3 linked regions of the Lepisosteus oculatus genome follow. The protein of the gene in region 2 purifies or fractionates together with the protein of the main gene of each other region. This does not show direct contact. Links are inferred from orthologs where the notes say so. Each region holds a gene or a part of one and is shown on either strand. Other genes may lie near its edges. The genes, in order: cherp, rbm17 and sf3a3.

Region 1 (7,111 bases), on a different chromosome or scaffold from region 2:
GTTCATTAAGGATAGCTCCAAGTTGTACACTAGAAAATGAGTCCTAAAATGGATCGCGGGGCGATTTTTTCTTTAACCGTTTCCAATGCCGGACTCCAATCTTCTCTTCTTGACTTCTGTCTTCATTTGTGGCAAGTGGCAACCTAAAAACACTGCACATCATCTGCAACGGCTAAGCGAAGACCTTATTCAAAACACTAAGCGTGCTGCTTAAATCACTGGCCCTGTGCTTTCACTAACCACCCTGACAACATCGATCTGTGTCAGCAGCGGAAAATGTGGACAACCCACTTGTAATATCAAAAGCCAATGAATTAAGGTTAGCGAAATAATCAGTCTATGGGTTTTGGAACACAGAGCCAGTAACTCTCTTTGGGTTTCCAGTCTCTATTTGGGAACAACGTTTTAGCGCACGAACACCGACGTCAAGCATTTGCTTAATCAAGATTCACACACTGTGGGAAAAGACTGAGTTACTACATGTTATACTTTCGTTCTGAACAGTACCTGTTTCGTCCTTAATGTCTTCAGATTCCTATGGAAAAAAAGAGGAAACAATTGTGACTGTGAAGATCATTATAAACGAATGAACCAATTAATATATTTTAGCATATTTCAAGATACATGACAGATTTGATAAATGCTGAAATATGTAAATATATCCGCGGCATGTTGGGTAAGCGATTGAGACTCCATTGCCACTAGAGGCCGGTAAATGACCTCATATTATACTTCTGTTCACTAAAAGTGGGATTAAGTCATTAACTGAATGTGAAAGGAATGCCACATTTGCACATGGGTGTAAATTAGTTTAGTGTAAAAAAAGATCTCAATAGAAGCTGGTTTAGGGTTGTTAAACAAGCCAGGTATTTCTACAGTAGGTAATCCTACTGTAATTTGTTGTGCCAATGTGAGTTTTAATGTGCTCAGGACCCTTGAGATACCTTGATTAAGCTGAGGTCTATGAAAGCATCTTTTATGTGTTACCTAACCTACATACCTCAAGATTCATGAGCAATCAGTATAACACTATGACAAATGACACAACTGTACAAAATTTCAATAAAAGCAAATTTAAAAACAAAAACTTAAAAGGAAGCTTTAACATACCTCTTTCGATTCAGCAGACTCAAGATCCTCCACGTTTGGAGCACAGTCACCTTCAGCCTCCATATTCTCATCCTAAAATTGCAGCAGATAAAACAAGTTAATATTTGCCAAATAAATGACAGCCATCTACACAGCAGATGGGAACTGCCTGAGTTTTACTAGTGACATGTCAAACGAGAAATTGAGGACATTTAGCCATATCAAAGGATTAGAAAATTCTAAAAAAGGGATTTCAGAAATAAAAATAGTGACATCATTAGGGAAAAAAACTTTTCAAAGCTTATATGCAGTCTGTAAAAGCTCACAAAAACATGTTTTCTGAATTCTTAGTAAAGTATAAGCCCCTTTTTTCCCCCAGAGACATATTTATAGAATAAATGTGGCTGATGGCCTTTGAAAGAGAAAACAAGGCTCTTCACCTCTTCAGGCTTCTGATCGGATTCTGGGACAGGAGAATCTGAGCTGTCGTGGGCAAAGCTCTCCGGAATGCCTTCAGCATCTCCTTCATTGGAAAGTGAATCAAGAATTTCATCGGCATCGTACTCGTCACAGTCTGCTGGGATGCCATTATCGATCTCGGCCTCATCCAAGACACTCATGTCCATGATGTCCATCTCCTGGAGATTTTCCAAGTTTACTTCCGGGTCATCCTACACAAGATAAATGTTTTTTTTTTATTTTGAATTTAAATGTATGGTCACTCCATTTTTGTACAATCAAGGATGCATCACAACACTCACCTGCCCATCTCCCGAATCTTCTTCAATAGTGCTATCTTCAAGACCATCACTCTCCTGTCGTTTTCCTAAAGGAGGATGAAAGCAGAAGTAAACCAACCACCCACAAAGAACACAGATAGCTGAATTTCCAGGTGGAAAAAAAAAATATTCTGTACATTTTAGCTGTGTTAAAACAAATCAACTTTCACATCTATGACCAAAGGTGCAGTTTTAGGCCAAAAAGCAAACCACCAAGTTAGCCAAGTACCATCTAGCCTAATGGACAGCGATAACACTTGACCTCCTCAAGAAAGTGTAGCAAGAAACTAGGCATATCTTATCCCTCAAGATCTGACCTACAATCACCCAAAAGGTGGGGGATAAAAAATATATATTTCTTGGATTCGTAGCCAAGGTTCAAAACTCTCAAGAGGATCTTAAGGCAAGAATTTAAGGAATGGATTAAAAGAATTCCACCCAGTGTACCTTTGGGGGTCCTCTTCGGGGTCTTCTTGGGAGCTGCCTCAAGTGTGACAAGAATTTCGTCTGGGTTCCCTCCTTCCTCTTCAATTGCCTGTGGGGAAATTGAAAACATGTTAATGTTTACCAAAAACATTCTGAAGCAACACCTTGCACATCCAATGTGACCCAAAACACCTTAAGGACCTAACATCAAATTGTGTAACTAATAAATAATTCCTTGAACCTGACAGTTCTATTAATTCCAGATTATTTTACATATAGGAGGGGACGCACCTCATCTATCACTGGTGTACAGCCCCACCCAGGCGGCGTGCAGCAACCCCACTACACTACTGACTTGAGAAGTGAGAAACTCCTTTACGAACTGAATCAGGGTACTTTAGGAAGGTCAAGCTGTCCATGCCCAAAGCAGTACTGAGCCAGCACACTGGAGTAGCATCCTATCTCTTAAAAACAGTGCCACGGGACTTTGAATGATCAGGCAAACAGCACAGTCAAGATGACAGTTGAACATCTCATCTGAAGGCCTACATCAGGGAACTGGATCAGCATTTCTATTTCCAGGAAGAAGGACACCTAGCTGTAAGTCTGGGTGCGACACCGGTCTCGCATTCTGCTTTTGATCAGGCAAAATCTGGCTTATGTTCTAAAATTTCACCTTAAATAACTCCTATGACCGTACATTTACGTGGGAAACTGTTAATATAACATGCTATAAGTTATCCCATCTGCACTAAAATGTACTGCAGTAACCCGCATGGCTCCCTGAAGACACTGTAAATGAAACTGCGGCGGTCACGATCAAACCCAACTCCTTCTCGATCCCAGAAATATGTACTTCATTTAAAACCACACGGTTATAATCGTTCTTTAGAAAACAAATCAGCGGTGTTTTCCTGGTCTATTCACCACTGATGTAACGCGTATGTCAATACGATTTAGATCCACGAATTGCGTTAATATAGCCTATTAAGTAACAGCAATCAAAATCAAAGTACCAGGAGTTGCGCCAACATTGCGCACCAGGTCCTTAAGCGATTTTTAATTTCTCAATGACAGCTCTCGGTTTCTTTTATGGCAAAAAAAAAACCGTAAGATAAACCGAAATAATATCATTTCAGGGTAACACGCAGCCTCTCACATCGACAACAGCAATCTGTAATGTGTATTATACCATGTAACTAGAGCATTTTTAGCAACTGCCGAGACAAAAATAAATTACATAAGCATCTCGTGTTCAAAAACGGTGCACACTCCTACGCAAACTCAGGCAACTGATTAATAAGGCAATGCGGACTTTACTCGAAAATACCCTCTACCTATACAATACGGAACTACATTTCCATGAAGGGTACGCCACAGAAACACTTCTCTTATCTGTTTAAATGCACGAACAAATCCGAGGCCTACAGCACCTTTTTGAGCCTTTCCGACAACATGCTCTTGTTGCCGCTGGTGTCCAGATTCCGTTTCTTCAGTTCAGCTTTCAGGTCGATCACTCGCAAATCCGACAGCTTGCGGACCCCCATGCCTTCCGGGATCTCGGTCGACACCGGGTCTGCGCCCGACAAACCTTCAGCCATCGCGTGCCCGTGAACACAAAGCAGAAAGAAAGAGCGGGTGAAATAAGCGAGACGCCCGAGAGGTAATGCTCGCTGGCTCGGTAGCGCACAAACAAAATGGCGTCTCCCCGCGGAGGAGGCGGGCCGTGGAGGAGGGAGAGCTGCGCATGCGCCTTCCGGCGAGAGCGCGCCGCCGGAGTCTGCGCACTGGCTCGAGGTTCCCGCGTTGTCATTAGGAAAAAAACGGCTACATGTCTAATTCTGCTTTAGAGTAAAACAGTGATTTCACGAGTAAGAGGTTCTGGATACTCTGATACTGTGGTAATACTGTGGCAAAAATACACTTTTCGCGCGTCTCACGACCATGGGATAGTGGTCTTCACACTCCCCACGAAAAGTGGGATAGAAAGGTATTGTCCTCACAATACTCGGTGATGCTCGGTGCACAAAAATTTGCGATTAAAAAAAATCCATTTAATTTGGGGTTTCAACGTAAGGTTCCGTTTTTTAAAACCGTGTTCATACACAGATTTTATGCGGAAAATGTACTCGTTATGATATACAAAAGCAGATCAAGATTCAAAACTTCAGAACGTATTTGTTACCGGCAATTAAGGATTCCCACAAATAATATCTTCTGGAATAAATGAAAAGCCATGAAATGCCCCCCCTTAATGGTACCGACCCAACACATTTCATGAAATTACCGAGTGTTTTTTTTTCACCCGAAAGACGGGGAAGGAGTTCTCCGAAGTTTCTAGACGCCGACCGCGAATTCTTCTGGCTCACCAGCGCCTTTCAGTGTCAGCGGGCCTCCTCTCCGCCAGGCGGCGCTACAGGCGCTTAGAGGCCTCTTGGAGGGAGAGACGACCCGCAGTGTAAAAAAAAATATGAATCTGTTACACTTGAAGATGCGCTTCCGGTTGAGCCCTGAGAGGAATGGGCAGCGTTTTACTGAGTTAAACTGGGAGCTGTTTTACTAGCGATCCGTGCTGTCCGAGTGTGCCTCTTGTAGCCATGGATATCCCAGCGCCACCCGAGGGTAAGAAACGACCGCAGAAGTCCAGATTTGGATTTATTTTTAGGTTTTTGGTTTACCTTGCGTGCTGTTGGCGATGTGTGCCATGGGCCTCACGCCTTCCTCCAAGCGGACATTGTATTGAAATGAATGATGTTGTATTTGCATCGTTCAAGCAGCCCGCCGTTAAAGTGTGAACCCTTCACTTGGCCTGTATCGATACATACCTCATACTTTACCAGTCTCCATTGGTTTATTTTAGCAGTCGTTTTGTTAACGTTGTATATTCTAATCTGGTGCAGCCAGTCGTCTCGCAAGAGATCGACGTCAATATAAATCTTAGTGTATTTCTTTCTTTGTAAGAGAAAATAACAGACCCTAAGCTCAACAGATGTTGAAATCACGCACCTATTATAACGGCCAAGTAATTTTGAGAAAAGCCCACAAAGTGGATTTGATAGGGGCATAAACAGTGTTACGTGAGTGCGTTAAAGTAAGTGTGGCGTGACACCTTTAAGTGCCCTGAAGAATCAGATTCAGCGAACACATAGCAAAACGGACTCTCTTAAATCAACAGAGACAATCTCATAAATGTATAAATGTATGTGGTGGATTGTTCCATCGCTTTGCAAATTCTTATTTTGGGTTTATCTCACGTTTTGGGTGATAGGTAGATATAGAAAGACAGGTACTGTCAATAAAGGCTCCACTATATACGAGATTTGCAAATGTGTTGCATTCTGCAGAAACTGTAAAATAAATAATGTATGTTTTACCAAGCCTCAAATACATTAGCCCTTCATCAAATCCTGAAAGGTAACGTATTTGGTCCGTAAGCAACAGTGGGCCGTGTTTAACACTGGGTTCATTTTGTATTTCTGCAGACCAGGAGCTGAGGAATGTCATCGATAAATTGGCCCAGTTTGTGGCCCGGAATGGCCCAGAGTTTGAGAAGATGACGATGGAGAAGCAGAAGGAAAACCCCAAATTCTCCTTCCTGTTTGGCGGAGAGTTCTTCAACTACTACAAGTACAAACTGGCCGTTGAGCAGCAACAGCGTACGTTCTCTGCTGTCTACCCCGAATCCACTGCCTGTGCTTCTCGTTACATTGAAAGAACGCTGCTTTATGTGGTCGAGTCTGGTTAAGGAAATATGCAGATGTTTTTTTTTTTTAACTACTCTGTTTTCTTATACTCAGGAGTCAAATATTGTCTTTTATTTTGAAGAGCAGCACAGCAGGGATTTCAGATTTCTATTCCAAATTCCCTTTCATCTCATGTAATCAAGTAACTTGCTTTGTTAAAGATAATAAGTAGTTAAGTAACAGAAAATTGGTGTGGATGAGAAGTGTTTCATAAGGATATGTTTTAACCTTTAAAATGTGCTGCATTTTTAAAGCTATTTTATGTTAAATTAAATGAAACACTAATGAGATTTTTTTAACAAGTGTGATTAGTTTTTAATTGTAATGGACTCATAATGGCAACATTTGCAAAAGTATTTTGTAGTTTTCTTCATTATAGGCAGGCATCAGTACAAAAAAGAGGATGCTCTTTCTCAGTTTACTTTGCTAAGCATGATAGAGATGCACCTTTTAATTGTTAACACTGAAACTGCAGTAAGTCATAGAGGCTTAAGATTAAATCATTTCCATAACAATTGTTTTTCTAAAGAAGCGATCAACCCAGCAGTGTTCTGTATTAAAGGTGTCCTTCTTTCCTTATAGATTCTACTACACACGAATGTGAGGAGTATAAGTTGGAAGGTATTTATTAGAATGTTACTCAGCAGTTCCATTTTGACAGAAGGATACCCAGACATGCTCTTTTTTTAATTTTCATTCTGGCATGATCAAAGATCTGAGGCTGAGTTGCATTTCTATTTTTATGTTTATTTGAGCTTTATTTTTCATTTTGTTTTTTTTTTTGTATAGTTCAAACATGGACTTTTGATTATTTGTGGCTCATGGCTGTTATCGGGGATTCTGGGGTTACTGGATGTTCAGCCTAAATAGATACTGTTTTTGATCACAGAGATTATAGCAAGTACCAGAGTCTGATGTTCAGTATTTCAGACACTTGCTGAAGTGTTTAACCTGTATCGCTTGGCACTGTGAATATTAAAGACAGTGTGCCTTCTTTTGCTGCATGATATAGGCAGGGTTTGGGTTGATACTTTGTTTAGAAAATCAGCTGTTTCCTATTTACACAGCCTGTCT
Region 2 (7,456 bases):
TACTTGCTGCTTCTTTGCTGCCATTTTTTCTTAATAATGGAACTTTCTTGGACACCATCTAATCTGCTTGCAATTCTAATTAGGCTCGGAGTTTTGACTGCCATCTGGTATTTGTTGAAAACACTCAAACAACTTCTCTGACAAAACTACAAGGCAAAACAAAGCAAAACCTGATATAAACAAAGCAGGTTGTTCTGCCTGTCAAAATCTTTCATGTGGCAAATTGCTACCTTAAAGAATCAAGGCTGCCACAGACCAATCAAATTGAAGGTCTGGGTAGATACTGTATTATAAGTATTATAACAATATAAGATATTGTAACAAACGTGGTAGAGCTCGTAGAACATGGAATAACAGCAACATACACATAGAGCATACAATATTGTGTTTTTAGATTTTCAGATTTGATGAAGTTCCAAGAAAGATTAATTCTCAAACTGTTGGTGGTAGGCATTCAAGGAAATGCAGTAATCTAGTGTGAGAACTGAATAAGGAGAAGGAGGTAGAGTACAGATAAAGGGTAACTGTTCAGACTGGGGTGATATAGTAGGAAGAGTAAGATAGAGATCTGCTCTTGCTAATGTACTGTATGTGAATGATGTAGATTCTGGTTTAGTGAGAGTTAGTTATAACTAGTCAAGTTTGCAGATGATACCTAAACAGGAGGAATAGTAATCACTCTAGAAGCAAAACAAATAAAAAAGAATTCAGAGAACGTTCAAGACTGGGCAAACATCTGGTAGATTATATTTAATTTAGACATGTTTGTGGTTTTTGTGCAGGAAGTAAAAGCAAAGCATAAATACAAAATGGGAAACTGAGCAAGTAGAGGCTACTTTTAAAAGACCGAGGCGCTCACGCTAACGAACATTTATATCATCCAATGCTGGGCACCAATAAAAACAAAATGTTAGGCAATATACTGTAGTTATAAGTGCAAAATTTAAATAGAGGGATAATATTTCCACAGCTCTAGTAAATCCTCATTTAGAATAGTACGTACACTCTTTGGCACCAGGTTATAAGATATAGATATTGCTGCTCTGGAACCTGTCCAGAGCATAAGAGATACAGTACATTGATGAGATCCATGTATCCAAAATCCTCCAAGGCATCAACAAAGTCAACTTAGTGGACTATTTTTTAGTATAAATAGTGAAACACAATGTTTGTAAAATTGCATTTGAAACCAAGAACAGGAGACACTTATTTAGCAAAGGGTGGAGGGTGTCTAGAGTAAGTCTGCCCAGTGCTGTTGTCAAAAACGATAACCTGGCTTCTTTCCTGACATCCTTGAATCAGATTACAGTTAGCTACAACAACTGAATGGGCTACATGGACCAAATGGCTTCCCCTTGGCTGTAGCCGTACTCATGTTCTTATGATGCTGAAGATCCTTGTTTACTTAAGAAACACAAAACAGTCTACAGTAACTAATGCATCACGAAGCCAGACTTCTGTGATTTAACTTTTTCCTGGAAACTTTGCCTGGGGTTTCCGCCCTTGCCACTCCTGCCCTGCCAGTTCGTCCCTCACTGCCTGGGCACGAACCTGGGTCTCCACCGTCACGGAACAGGGAACTTGCCAGCTGAGCTAAAGGAGAACTCCCCCAGCCCGGGCAGCTGAGATCCCTGTTATATACAGGGGCGTTTCATTACACCTGCAATCTCTGTTTGAATTACACTAAGAAGTTATATGTATCTTATTTTAAACCTTTTCAAATCCTACCTTATAGGTATACCTTATTAAATATTTTAAAACTCTATAGTTGTTTAAACTCTGTTAAACCTAAATTGTCTAAGCATGTCAGCAATTCTGAGTGCAACACATTTAGGATGTCCTAAATATACCATAATATATTTTAGAAAATATTAAGAGAAAGGCATTAACAGATGCAACCAACATGCCTATTCAGTATATAAATATAAAGAGACAAAGAAATTAATTACCAGTATTAATGCTACCAGAGCAGTGGTTTTCAACCTTTTTTTAAAAAATCAATTAATTTCTAGAATCAAATTCAAATATCTGCATTTTTGCATCAGACGGTTGAAGTGAAGAGAGTATGAGGCTGTAGTCCTGTGATGTGGAGAAGGTTTATTGCCCTAATATTTACAGTGGGGGGGCATGCTGGTCACAGAGGTAGAGAAGGCAGGAGGAGAGACGATAAAATTAGACATTTTATTTATCATCTGGGCATTCACTCACAGACTGAGTCATTGCCCAACCCTATCAGATTTTACAACAAGCATTCATCTGGTGGTATATGGGCCACAAATAAGTGGGAAAGTTGTAACGATCTGACTTGATAACTACTTCCCAAATCAGTTTACAGCTAATAAGGATTTCAAGGTAAGCAGTATCTCTAAGTTTATAAGTTTTGGCAGGATGAATTCCTTCGCAGCAAAATAAACACAATTATACTTAGACTATCCTGGAAGGGGCCGTGAATCCTGGGTCCTTAATGGTGGTACCTCAGTCCCCTTCCAAGCCTCAAAGATTCCCTCCTGCTTTGTGAAGTGTCCTTACTTCTTTTGTGTTGGTCATGTAAAAAGACACTATCTTCACAAAGATCTGAATAAGGTCTTCTAATTTGAAAAGTGTAATAGATGTAAAAGATGTAATAGAGGACAGGCAAGGTTTTCCTGCTATGACACAAACTGGAATACTGCTTTTTGTTTTGTTAATGGGCGGATGTAGCTGTGGCTCAGGCAGTCTTCCAAGTTTCTCTGACTAGTTGACTTCTCCTTCTGATTTCTTCCTTCCTCTCAAAAAGAAAGAGGAACTTTCTTTTAAAACCCTAAGCTCCTTCTCTAGGCTCACACAAGTGTTACAAAAGATAGGACTAATTACCCAATTAAACTAATCAATCAACTTAAACCTGGCCTGGCTTCGATCATTGAAGAATAGTTAAATTCTCCAATATGAGACCTTCTGTGCCTTTCATTCATTTGTATCTACTGCTCCAAAGTGACCATAATTAAAACAATCACCCCCTGAATGCAATCACCCCCTGATGCAAGCTGCCATCACCTGTAGCTTCATGTTGGAACTCAACATGGGTTCAATTCCTAGGGTGTTATCTTCAGGGAGCTTTTATATTCTGCGGATATTCTCGTGGGGTTCCTTCAGCTGGTCTGGTGTCCTCCCACTGTCCAAAGACATACTGGTAGGTTAATTGGCTTCTGGGAAAATTGGCCCTAGTGTGAGTGTGTGTGTCTGCCCTGAGATGGACAGGTGTCTTATTCAGAGTGTATCCCACCTTGTGCCTGTTGCTTGCTGGGATAGGCTCTGGCTCCCAAGTGATTCTTAATTGGATGAAGAACTTAAAGGATGGATATCAGAAACTGCTAAGTCACTTTTTGGAAGCTGCCAGATGAGAGGTCAGCTATGTTTAAACATTTGCCCTCCTTTTTAACTTGTGGGTTCTAAAATATGTATATTGCTATAAAAAGCTTGGGAAATAGTTATTTGAATTTTGTGAAACACATTTGGCTTCTCCCTATTCCCTCTGTACTCAATAAAGCCCTAATTTGTTTAAAATTTCTATCATGTTTAGTCCACAATAACATAACAAATAGAGGTTCAGTATATGCCAGCAGCCATATCACCCTGCAACTTACTACTGACAACCCATTGACGCAAAGCAGGTGTCACTCTGGTGAGTATCTGGATGGGAGACCTCCTGGGAAAAGGTTAAGTTGCTGCTGCAAGAAGTGTTAATGGGACCAGCAGAGTGTGCTCCGTGGTCTGTGTGGGTCCTAATGCCCCAATATAGTAATGGGGATGCTATACTGTAAAAAGGTGCAGTCCTTCTGATGAGATGTAAAATATGACTCCTTGTGGTCATTAAGAGTAGGTGTGTAACCCTGGCGTCCTGACCAAATTTCCCCCTGATCTTTACCAATCATGGCCTCCTAATAATCCCCATCTATGAATTGGCTTCATCACTCTGTTCTCCTCCTCACTGACAGCTGATGTGTGGTGAGAGTACTGGCACATCATCCAGGTGGGGCTGCACGCTGGTGGTGGTGGAGGGGAGTCCCCATAATGTGTAACGTGAGTGGAATGTCCAGAAAAGTGAAGTGTAAAGAATTATTTGTATTATATAGTATAAATACCAGATAGTATATATTAGTATAGATATACTAAATAAACCGACCTGTAGATTTAAGTAGTATTTTGGCATGAAACTGTTATATCTGAAGTCCATCTGATCAGAAATGTTGAGTGCATTTTTTCTCTCTGACCTTCCGTCTCGGTTAGCGATATTTGTTTTTCCCTTGCGTAAAGCGACATCTAGTGTCAGAATAAAACGTTCCCGAGGTTCTGATATTCACGTGTAGTTTCAGTCCTCCACTGGGTGGTGGCAGCAGAGATTTTAACAGGGGGTCTTCATGTAACTCCGCTTTCTTTTTCCAGCGATGTCGTAAATATCTTCGTTTTTGAACGTTGTTTGATTGCGTTTGTATAAAGTCTGGTAGGTATTGTTTTAAATATAACCTAATAGCTAAAATATTTGAATTAAACGGTGTGGATTCTTAACTCTGGGTTTTAACCGTACCTGTGGCCCAGATATGGTTGTGATGTGCGGGTCAGTAAATGGAGTACACCGTTTCAAGTCCTTTTATTAGGAGAAATAAATATGTTCTTCTGCGAAACCTGACGTTTTGTTTCTGAAAGCTACTATATTGCGCTCTTTTGTATCAGTCGTAAGAAGGCGGTTATTGTTTGTAGGATTTCAATATGTTGTGCTTTTGTTATGATAAGCATGAATGGTGATGGCGCGCCACGTTTAGTTGAACTTAATCTTGTGAGTTTACAAGAACGTGTGTATTTCTTAAAGCTGTTAGTCATGGCGTATAAAAAAGTCCTGGGGAACGTTTTTACTTGTCTTTGCTTCCTTTATGTGAACATTTAATAAAGACGTACAATGTAATAGTTAATCTCTGTCTACGGACTGGAAGTCAAAATTGCAGTTATTCTAAAAAACTCGCAGTATTTATATGATATGTAAGGTGAAATATTAATAACTTTTTTAACATAAGTTCTATTCATAGCTCGAGTTTTGGGTAGTTCAACCATGATTAGCAAGTGTTGTGAAACAGCCCCTAAGTACTACAGTCATGTAAAAAAGAAAGTACACTATCTGTCAATTAAATGGTTTTACGTATCAGGGCATAAATAACAATCGTCTGGTCCTCACCAATTTCTGTATTTAGACAAACCTAGCCTCAGATAACACAACACATTACAGATTTCATTATGTCATTGTTTGTTCAACAAAAAGTAAGCCAAAATGCAGAAACCATGTGGGAAAAATTAAGTACACCCTTACTGCTTCCATAGGAATTAAGAAGGTAATTAGCAGCCAGGTAATGCTTATCAAATGCACTTGATTAGTTGATCAACAGGAAGCATGACCACCTCTATAAAAGCAGAAGTTTTGGCAGTTTGGTGATCTTGAGCATTCAGGTGTGTTAACACCATGCAAAGGAGAAAAGACATCAGCAATGAACTCAGAAAAGCAGTTGTTGCTGCTCATCAATCTGGGAAGGGTTATGAGGCCATTTCCAAATAATCTGAAATCCATCATTCTACAGCGAGAAGGATTATTTACAAATGGAGAACATTCAAGACAGTTGCCAATCTTCCCAGGAGTGGGCGTCCCAGCAAATTCATACCAAGGTCAGACCGTATAATGCTCAGCGAAATCGTAAAGAGCCCAAGAGCTACCTCTAGGGATCTACAGTCCCGGTTAACATGTTAAATGTTAAAGTTCATGACGGTACGATCAGAAAAAGACTGAACAAGTATGGCTTTCATGGAAGGGTAGCCAGGAGAAAGTCCCTTCTCTCCAAAGAGAACATGGCAGCACGGCTTAGGTTTGCAAAGTTGCATCTGAACAAACAAGAAGATTTCTGGAAAAGTGTGCTTTTGACAGGCGAGACCAAAGTGGAGATGTTTGGTCATTATGCACAACGCCATGTTTGGCGAAAAACCAAACACAGTGTATCACCACAAACACCTCATACCAACCGCCAAGCACGGTAGTGGAGGGGTGATGATTTGGGCTTGTTTTGCAGCTATAGGACTTGGGCACCTTGCAGTCATTGAGTTGACCACAAACCAAAGTATTCTAGAGACAAATGTGAGACCGTCTGCCCGACAGCTAAAGCTTGGCCGAAATTGGGTCATGAAACAGGACAACGATCTCAAGCACACCAGCAAATCGACAACTGAATGGCTGAAAAAGAAAAGAATCAAGGTGTTGGAATGGCCAAGTCAAAGTCCAGACCTCAACCCCATTGAGATGCTGTCTGTGAGACCTGAAGAGAGCTGTGCATAAACAGATGCCCTCAAACATCAGTGAACTGAAGCAATGTTGTAAAGAACAGTGTGCCAAAATTCCTCCAAAACAAGCGACTGGAGGAATATTTATAAGAGACCGATAAACTCATACAGGAAACGATTACTTCTGCTTCTGTAAGCTACTGAATCATGGGGTGGACTTAGTTTTTCACGCATGGCTTCTGCATGTTAGCTTATTTTTTGTTAAATTAAATAATGACATAGTGGAATCTGAGCTGTGTTGTTTATCACCTGAGGTTAGATTTACCTAACTGTAGGACCTGGTAAGGACCAGTTGATTTTTTGTTATGTCCTGATATATAAAACCATTTCAGAATTGAAAGAGGGTGTCCTTTCCTTTTCACATGACTGTCTATGTTGACTGCTGCCAGCCATGTCGCAGCGATGTAGTATTACAGGCTGTTGCATTTTTTGTGCAGGCTTTGTGAATTAGTATTCTCAATCTTTCTTTCAAAGTGCCGTTGGTCTGTTTTATCAAAAGATCCAATTTTGTCTCCAAGGTATTCCGGAACTAAAGGAACATGTCCCTCTATGATGACCTGGGAGTTGAGACCAGCGACACGAAAACGGAAGGCTGGTCCAAGAACTTCAAGCTGCTTCAGTCTCAGCTTCAGGTGAAGAAAGCAGCGCTGACACAGGCCAAGGTATGGGAGAGTACCGTTTCATTGGTTAGATCAGTTAATATGATAACGATATGAACATGATGTAGATGATGCATAGGTCAGATTGATTGATTTATTTATTCAGAAATATTTCTTTTAAATTTCATCAAGATTTTTTAATTAGGACCTTTGGTTGGAGCAGGGCACGAAGGAAATAACAGTAGAATGCACAGGAAGTTTTTCTTTTCAAAGCTGAAAATATTTTTAATGTAGTCTGAGGTGTGTTTTTGGTAAAATATGATGTTTAAATAGATTTAACACTTTTCCTCCTTTCAGAGCCAGCGTACAAAGCAGACTACAGTTTTAGCCCCGGTGATCGATCTGAAGAGGGGCAGCACCAGTGATGACAGACAGATCTCTGATACACCTCCCCATGTGGCAGCTGGCCTGAAAGTATGAACGTTTTGGGTTAATCTGGCTTT
Region 3 (7,912 bases), on a different chromosome or scaffold from region 2:
TTTAATGGATAGATGATTCATTTTACTGTAGTAATGTATGATCACTTTTTGCATTTTGAACTTACTTTGCTTACTTGCACAAGCATCAAGCATGCAGTGATTTTCCAGGTCAGATTTGGATGTCGTTATGTCACTCTCTATGAAGCCACTGATATCATCTTCGAATAGAGCTCCATTTCTTGCCAAGATTTCTGATATGAGCTGGAAAAATTTTAAAAAGTAGATTACTTGCCCATTTGAATGACTTTAGGATCTTGCTGTGTACATTTTTCTATATTGGTGTGGAAGTGTGAAATAGCTGCATGTTGCGGCTTGCTTCTGAACTCTCGCTGCCAAATTAAAAAAATGAAAGCCAAAACAAATATCGACATACAAGTTAATTGTTTTTTGGCAGACACACTGATTTTATTTCCCCCTGCAGTGGTATATAAATGTGTTATTATTTTAAATTAATTTTCCAATGTATTGCATGTTACTAAAACCACTAATGTACTGTAAAATACCACCAATCATTAAACCATCTCTAGGTTATCAATACTTATTAACACTCACAACTAACAACTACAGCAAAGAGTGTTCAAAAGTTGTCATATGAGAAATTCATATAAGAAAAATGGACCCTGTGAGGGAATTCATCTCCGATTTTCCAATAAATCCAATCTTGTATGATCATTTTGACAAATAATGCCTCATTCTACCTTACAGAAGAACTGCATAGAAATATTTTCCACATTTATTTACACAGGACAAGAAAATCTAGAAGGAAACGAAAGTACTTAATCCATCATAGAAGGTGTTCCTAAACTCTAGGTCTTTGGGTCTAGAATTCATTAAGGTTTTTAGTCTCTTTAAATCATCAATAGTATAAGAGTCAAGGGGAAGAGTAACCCTTCTCCTAGATATATAGTTGTTTTAACTTAAAGAGACTGAGAATGCATGCTTGCTTGTGAACCTGTCAGGAACCTTGCAACAGTCTTTATGGATGCATATTCAGATACCTGTGGAGAAGGATATACCTGATCTCTCAGTTCCAGCTGTTTTCTCTGCAGCTCCAGAAACCTCTTTTCCCAAACAGCTTTTTCCTTTGAAATCTGTGATTTCAATAGCTGAATTTCACTCTCAGCTTTGGATAATCTCTTGCGAACCAAATTACTGCAGTCATGAAGGTTTGACGTCTCTTCTGAGACTTCAGTATCTAGAAGGAATGTTCAATAGAAAAAATGGTATAAGTGCACTTGGCACAGAGAAATGTGTTATTAGCAGACATCCCACAACCTCCAATAGGTATTTCAGTTTTTTTGCACTGAAGGGCCTCTGTTGTTTTACAGGCACTGATGTTTCCTACAATTTTGGGTTTTGTAAAGAATGCAGCACTCTGAAACACTACTCATTCAAGTTTAAAATCAAGATTAGTCATCTCAGACAAATTAATCTCCATTTTACAGAGCTCCAGTTCATGGTGAGCACCCTTTCAAATCACAAGCAAAGGTGGTGGTGTAAAGGTAAGATTTGTTTCTGAAAGGATAGATTGAAATATTGCGCTTTGAAGCATCTTGAAACATCAGAAAACTGTTTTCTGACATGTTATGCGCTCCCTCTGCTGGAAGTATGCGTGCATAACATCCTACGTCAAGATTACACTCGAGAGATAAAAACATTTTTATTTCGCGATTTAAAATTTCACCGTATTGTATTTTATAGTATTATTCTAGACTACATACTACAAAAAACATGGAACTTCTGCTGTAAGGTACATCCAGTAGAATAATCTGAGCAAAATAAACATCAACACAGCCTCAAATTAAAATGTTTCATTTCTGGCACCACTATTGAGGGTGTTCGTGGCGTAATGTAATAATAAAAGACTTGCACAACGTATTAACCTGAAATATTACTTTAATTAAAAACTTTTTATCTTCTCATCAGGAAAAAAAAATGATGAACCACAAACCTGTTTTTTCAAGCTTGGGGCTGTGAACTGTAAAATCTACAATCTTTCGCTTTTTACTGAGATAAGAAGACGTGATTGCTTGGAATGGGGTCACCTGGAATGAAAGACAGAAAAGTGAAAAACTTGGCCACAGTATGGAAACAACAGAAACGCCTAGTTATCCCTTCAAAGAGTTCCCAAGAAAACATTAGCCTATTCCGTTAAAATATTTAAATAAGAGTGATCGTGCTACACTTGGTACAAAAGAGATGGAACACATTTTACAAATATAGTACATCGAAAACTCTAAAATAAAACCTTTAGTCCTTTTAAATGGTTACATTTTAAGCAATTGAAGTCTAAAAAATTCCAACGAAATTAAAACTACATCAAGAATTCGTTATTGAAGTTTTTATTTTTCAGTCTTAAATGATAGGAGGTTGGCAAGACTTGCATATTCATTTATGTTAAAATTTATATAGAAATGCATGAATCTGCAAGTTCTACTATGTTTACTTTTCACATACTGTATAACAGTAAAGCTCATCAGTGAGCTCTGAATTCCAGATTATTTGTTTGCTTGCCCAACGATGTGAATGTGAAACCACAACGTTTGTTTAAATTACTATGGTTTTGTCATTCCTTTCTAGATATCATTTAGCACTGCATGTTATTTTAAAAAATGTAATAATAGTGTTACTGGGAAGTGCACAGCAATAAAACATAGGCTTTTGGCTATAATTACATCATGCAGTCCTGTCAGCTACAGACTAATAGCTCTCATCCTACATAACTACCATACTGTATATAGCTTTGCTTAATATCTGTCTTTATTCTTAAATAAAATCCCCATCAACACACCTGTATCTTGTTAAATGCAAACAGGCAATTAAATAAATACATAGGTTTTACTATCTTCACGTATGCTTTTATTTTGCTACTTTATAGTGTAGAGCCTGAAAGTTTTTTTACTTACCCACATAAATCTCCAGAAACATATCAGTCCTCTAAATGTCCAATCTAACATAGACCAGAACACACAGAAGACCATATTGAAGCCAGCTAGATCTGTGAACTATATACCCATTAGTGGAGCTATAAAGAAAAGGGATACAACAACAAACAGCTTCATCCAGTGGTGCAGAAATGTGGGTTAAGTCAGACACTATAAGCTTTTAGCCTGCATGTAATTACCATTTATTTTTTAGCAACAACTTTAAAAAGTCAACGCTTGAAAACATTATTTATTTTACCCAATAGAGGCTTTGCTTCAGCCATGTTGCAGTGGTTTAGTTAGAATCTGCGAGGGGACATATGAAACACAGTTTCTCAATGAGCATTTTAGCTCTCAAGGAAAATGAACATATCTAATTGATTTCTATACATTTACATATGACCAGCATATGCTGCCAGCAGCAGCCACTGAGGGCTCATGATTGAAGGACAGAGTAGCAGAACACATATAGTACAACTATTTTAGCCCTGCTGTCAGTTCTGCTAAATAATATCAGAAATCAGCATAGCCTAGTACATATTGCAGCTAATGCTACCTTTTAGTTCTGTGTCTTGGGAATCCTTAAAGCCTTTTCTAGAGAGATCCAATTGCTGCCATGTGGTGTGGAAGCCTTTTCTAGGTCAGAATGTAGTTACAGCCCAGGCGTGTTCCCTTGGCTATCGCCCTGTGTATAAATTCCCTGCTGTTGCTATGAGGGTTTGTTGACAGGTGAGAACCAATCCAGTTAATAAATCTAACCTAATCCTCTTAGCCATTGGTGCTGGACATCCAGTGGAACTCATACAAAAGTGAATTTGCCACTCTGCCCTAGTTAGCATGGTTTAAATCGTTCCTCTTTTGGTTATGTTTGAAAAGAAATGCCAGTTCTAGTTTTTCTAGACAAAACATAAAATAAGGTATTTGTTATTCTTGGAACACAGGACTAGTCCCAGAAATCACCCCCAGTGATTTTCAGATAATATACAAGATTTTATACAAAATCAAAACCTCACTGTTTACAGTGTTATTTAGATGCATATAAAACTGTTGCATACGAACATACTGTATTGCCAGGTTTTAAAAGGGCAAAGGTTTGAGTTGTTATTAGTTGACTAACAGTAATAAAGCAATAATAATTATACATTCTGCTTGCTTCCACCTTTCTCATCTATACGACACCCAAGGGTACAGTTATATTTCACAAAGAAGCAAAAAGATAGCACTGTAACTCTTGGTCTCTACTGTGAGGAACTTCCGTGGCGCATAATATTTAAATGTCATGCTCGTCCAGAACTTAAAAACCACAGTTGCTCACTAATCAACGTAACCAACTATTACTGAGAACCGAAATGATTTGGTATTGTAACGCTTACGGGTTCGTGCAGGACGAAATTAATCGGAGACGGACTAAACTCACTAACACCAATTTTTACTCTCCTTTACGTAAACAGACCACGGGATTTACGCACACATTACGGGACCAAGGGAACATGTACTCGGGTTTATGGTGGTAACTCTTTAACAGACTCTACACACTAACTTATAGGGCACTAAACTTCAGGGAACACTTAAACTAACACAGGTATATTTACATGAGTAGGGTCAGCTGCTGCTTACGGTTACGGACCCTCGGACTCCCCCGGCCTACAATTCCCAGCCTGCTTTGCGGTAGCCTCAACGCCGAGGTGCACTTCCTCCTCACCACCGGGCGATGTGTTTATTTGATATTGACAGTGTTTCGGATGAGTAAAATATAAAGTATTAAGTGCTGGTTTGAATATCTAAATTGAATTCATGAATTATTTTTTTCCTGTATTAACTTTTAAAATAGCGGTAATGATTTTGAGAAGTTACGACTTGACCAACACAAAAATGGACATGACGTCCCGGAATCTTTCGACTGCGTTTGTTGTTTCTCAGTTTGACACCGGACACTTTAGGGAGATGCTTTCCGGTAGTCTGTGATGTGGTGCGTGTTGCATTCGCCTCCGTCTGTGTGTTGTGACTGTACGGGAGTGAAGCGGGAAAGGCTACAACTTGTCTTTTGTATTTGTTTCTTGTTTCATTAAAACATGGAGACCATTTTGGAGCAGCAGCGGCGCTACCATGAGGAAAAAGAAAGGCTCATGGATGCCAAGACAAAAGAAATGCTACACAAAAAAACTACGGTAACTTGCGCAGCACCCGCCTTTGAGTTAGGCCCGTGTTTGTGGACCCGCAGATCCCGGCAAATTAGGGCAAACCTTTTTTTAGAAAAAAAGAAATCAGTAGGTCGGTTCTGTGTTGTTTATTTTAATGTTGCAGAACTCTTTCGTTGTTTCAAAATGTTTTACGTTCAAATAATATACTTGGTTTTAGACTGCATAAATAAATACTAGGTGCTTTAAGAGATTTCAGAGGCTGTTTTCAAGTTGTGGTGCACAGTTGTTTTCAGTGTTTTTATTCACAACCGCATACTTTAACTAATTACCTGGTTGAATGTAAAAAATGTAACCGCTTTCCTTGTTTTTAAGGTATTGGGTCTCTTCTACGCGTGTGAATACGTTTTTTAAACATTTTATTTTTGACCATATGAAGCAAACGATCTGCTTGCAGTTTTTGATTTTCCTTCACCGAGATTTGGAGCTGCTTGTGAACTTGAATAGATGAGCTGATTTTGCTTCACATGAGTTATATTCACGCTTTGTATTCTAGTGAAAAATTAGCAATCGGAAGTGGGATGCAGAAATAAAGTAGCTGGTGCCTTTTAACTTGCCCTTTCACCTATTTCTTTATTTAAATTATAGTCTTATTTGGAGGTGTAATTAAAAGTTCTTAGTATTATTACAAATTCTAGTTGTACTTTGGAGGATACAGTGACAGGTAACTTTCTGCTTCAAGCAACATAATTACCGTCCGTGATTTTGTCAACGGTGACGTTGGTCACACTCATATGTGTGCCGTATATGTATGGATTTTGGCAAACTATACATTCTGATTTGTCACAGAGCTGATTTTCTCTTTCTTGTTTAGTTAAGGGACCAGATAAACTCAGATCACCGGACAAGAGCAATGCTGGATGTGAGTAATGCGTTTATTTCCTATCTTAAGTCCTACAGCCACGTCGGATATTTGCTTGATTTGTGGTCCTTTTTTATTTCATGGGTAATTAAATAACATCCAGGAATTGGATGCTTGGAATGCTTGGTGAGACAAGCTTGGCTTAACCTGCTTGGTTAAACCCAGTTCAGACCAAGGGGCAGCTGCAAGGTGGAGACGGGTTTGAGTTGAGTATATGTAGCGAGTTACGTCATGATGATGGTGACTAGGTACAGCTCTGTGAGACTGACTTGTCACCCTTCCCGCACTTCAGTCAATAACTTCCACGTAATAAAATATAAGATTGTACCTCGTTAAGTATGTTTTAGAAAATACAACCGCATTTTAATTGCTTTTCCAGAGGTACATGGAAGTGAGTGCAAATCTGCGGGATTCCTATGAAGATAAAGATGGGTGAGTCTGTGGATCCAGCGGTTATTTCTGCTGGTATTGATATAAACACGTCATTGCAGAATGATTAAAAATGCTGCATGAACTCTTACTTCAGATGATCTGATTTTCGTTAACGAGTAGATTGCCAAACTAAATTGTTCTGCTGTGCTCTGAACAAATCACCAGAGAGTACCAGATTCTTCAGTTGCCTGTTGGTAGATTTGTCATACAAAGGAATTAAAACTAACTTGCTTTCACATATTGAGCAGGTAACATTTTAACTTTATATAACCATGACATTAGTAGATATTTACAAATGCATTTCTAAATATTTGGGTTTTTTTTTTTATTTGAATATAATGTTTCTTTCTGCATGCCTGTCCTCACAGAATGAGAAAGGAGGAGCTCAGTGCTATTTCGGGACCAAATGAATTTGCTGAATTCTACAACCGGTTGAAGCAGATAAAGGAATTTCACAGGAAACACCCCAATGAGGTGAACTTACACACAACAACAAGGCATTTACCTGAGATTGCAGTTTAATTGTGATCTAACGTTTCATATTAAACATGCTTTTCTGTTCCAGAACTGTTTATCCTTCTTTCTTAATCATGTTAATGTTTTTTGATCATTTAGATCTGTGTTCCCATGTCTGTTGAATTTGAAGAGCTAATGAAAGCCAGAGAAAACCCCAGTGAAGAAGCACAGAGTAAGACGAAAATCTTTTGAGATTAATCCAATTATGATTTGGAAGGAAAGCAAATCCTTTTTACATGAATGCATTATCTAACTCCTTTCACAGTAAATCTTTTCTTAGATCTCTTCCTAGTCTCTTTCTTTAGTTTATTTTGTGACCTTGTTGACTTTTTTCTAGTGGTATTTCTGCATTGTTAATCTCAGAGATGTAAACTTGATGAAGAAGGCAGAATTATGACTAAGAATAACAGTTATTTGGTGATGTTATCTTGAGTAACAAATATCTTTAGTTGTGTTCTAACCTATTGTTCGTAAGACACTCACTTCTTAATGTTTTGTAAATATTGTTAGATTTAGTTGAATTCACTGATGAGGAAGGATATGGGCGATATCTTGATCTTCATGATTGTTACCTGAAGTACATCAACCTGAAAGGAGCAGAGGTAAGATCTTGGATTTAGCTTTATTTTGTTTCACTTGTGCACTTGGATATCATTAACTGCTGGATAAGGAAATAAAAATGGGTATTTGATCAGGATTGTCCATTTGGGTACGAATAGATCATTGTTCCTACCAAGAATCTGCTTTATGCATGGATAACTTTCAAGAAGTGCTTTGTGTCTTAAATCGATTTTCATTTAGTTGTCTTTTGTATTGTCTGGGTTGCAGTACATTGTAAATCTGAAGACATTGTTGTCCTGACTTTGTCGGTACCTTTGAGAATTTTGAGATTAATGTCTTTCAATATCGCATTCCAACAATCTCAGGAATATACTCAACCACTCTGCATTTGCCTGCTTCCAGAGCCACAATCTTTTTTA

The links.
Region 1: the proteins of rbm17 (region 2) and cherp purify together in Homo sapiens (co-immunoprecipitation; 4 studies listed by BioGRID and IntAct, counting the BioPlex papers as one, with this or other methods). This does not show direct contact. The link is inferred for Lepisosteus oculatus from reciprocal best matches to the Homo sapiens genes RBM17 and CHERP.
Region 3: the proteins of rbm17 (region 2) and sf3a3 purify together in Homo sapiens (affinity purification with mass spectrometry; 4 studies listed by BioGRID and IntAct, counting the BioPlex papers as one, with this or other methods). This does not show direct contact. The link is inferred for Lepisosteus oculatus from reciprocal best matches to the Homo sapiens genes RBM17 and SF3A3.

Annotation. Positions count from the first base shown.
Region 1 is NC_090724.1:5,323,640-5,330,750, forward strand, and holds the start of cherp (calcium homeostasis endoplasmic reticulum protein), read left to right. Parts: upstream 1-4,087; 5' UTR 4,088-4,284; intron 4,285-4,581; exon of another isoform or gene 4,582-4,606; 5' UTR 4,607-4,891; coding exon 4,892-4,916; intron 4,917-5,776; coding exon 5,777-5,950; intron 5,951-6,619; coding exon 6,620-6,658; intron 6,659-7,111. Other genes in the region: safb (scaffold attachment factor B1), read right to left, coding at 508-535, 1,111-1,182, 1,530-1,760, 1,851-1,915, 2,316-2,403, 3,728-3,895. UniProt on the Homo sapiens protein: Involved in calcium homeostasis, growth and proliferation.
Region 2 is NC_090702.1:43,509,654-43,517,109, reverse strand, and holds the start of rbm17 (splicing factor 45), read left to right. Parts: upstream 1-4,379; 5' UTR 4,380-4,480; intron 4,481-6,872; 5' UTR 6,873-6,893; coding exon 6,894-7,016; intron 7,017-7,310; coding exon 7,311-7,427; intron 7,428-7,456. UniProt on the Homo sapiens protein: Splice factor that binds to the single-stranded 3'AG at the exon/intron border and promotes its utilization in the second catalytic step. Involved in the regulation of alternative splicing and the utilization of cryptic splice sites.
Region 3 is NC_090706.1:5,552,925-5,560,836, forward strand, and holds the start of sf3a3 (splicing factor 3A subunit 3), read left to right. Parts: upstream 1-4,850; 5' UTR 4,851-4,996; coding exon 4,997-5,092; intron 5,093-5,936; coding exon 5,937-5,984; intron 5,985-6,363; coding exon 6,364-6,416; intron 6,417-6,784; coding exon 6,785-6,890; intron 6,891-7,031; coding exon 7,032-7,104; intron 7,105-7,442; coding exon 7,443-7,534; intron 7,535-7,912. Other genes in the region: centrosome-associated protein 350, read right to left, coding at 66-201, 1,017-1,195, 1,952-2,045, 2,907-2,981. UniProt on the Homo sapiens protein: Component of the 17S U2 SnRNP complex of the spliceosome, a large ribonucleoprotein complex that removes introns from transcribed pre-mRNAs.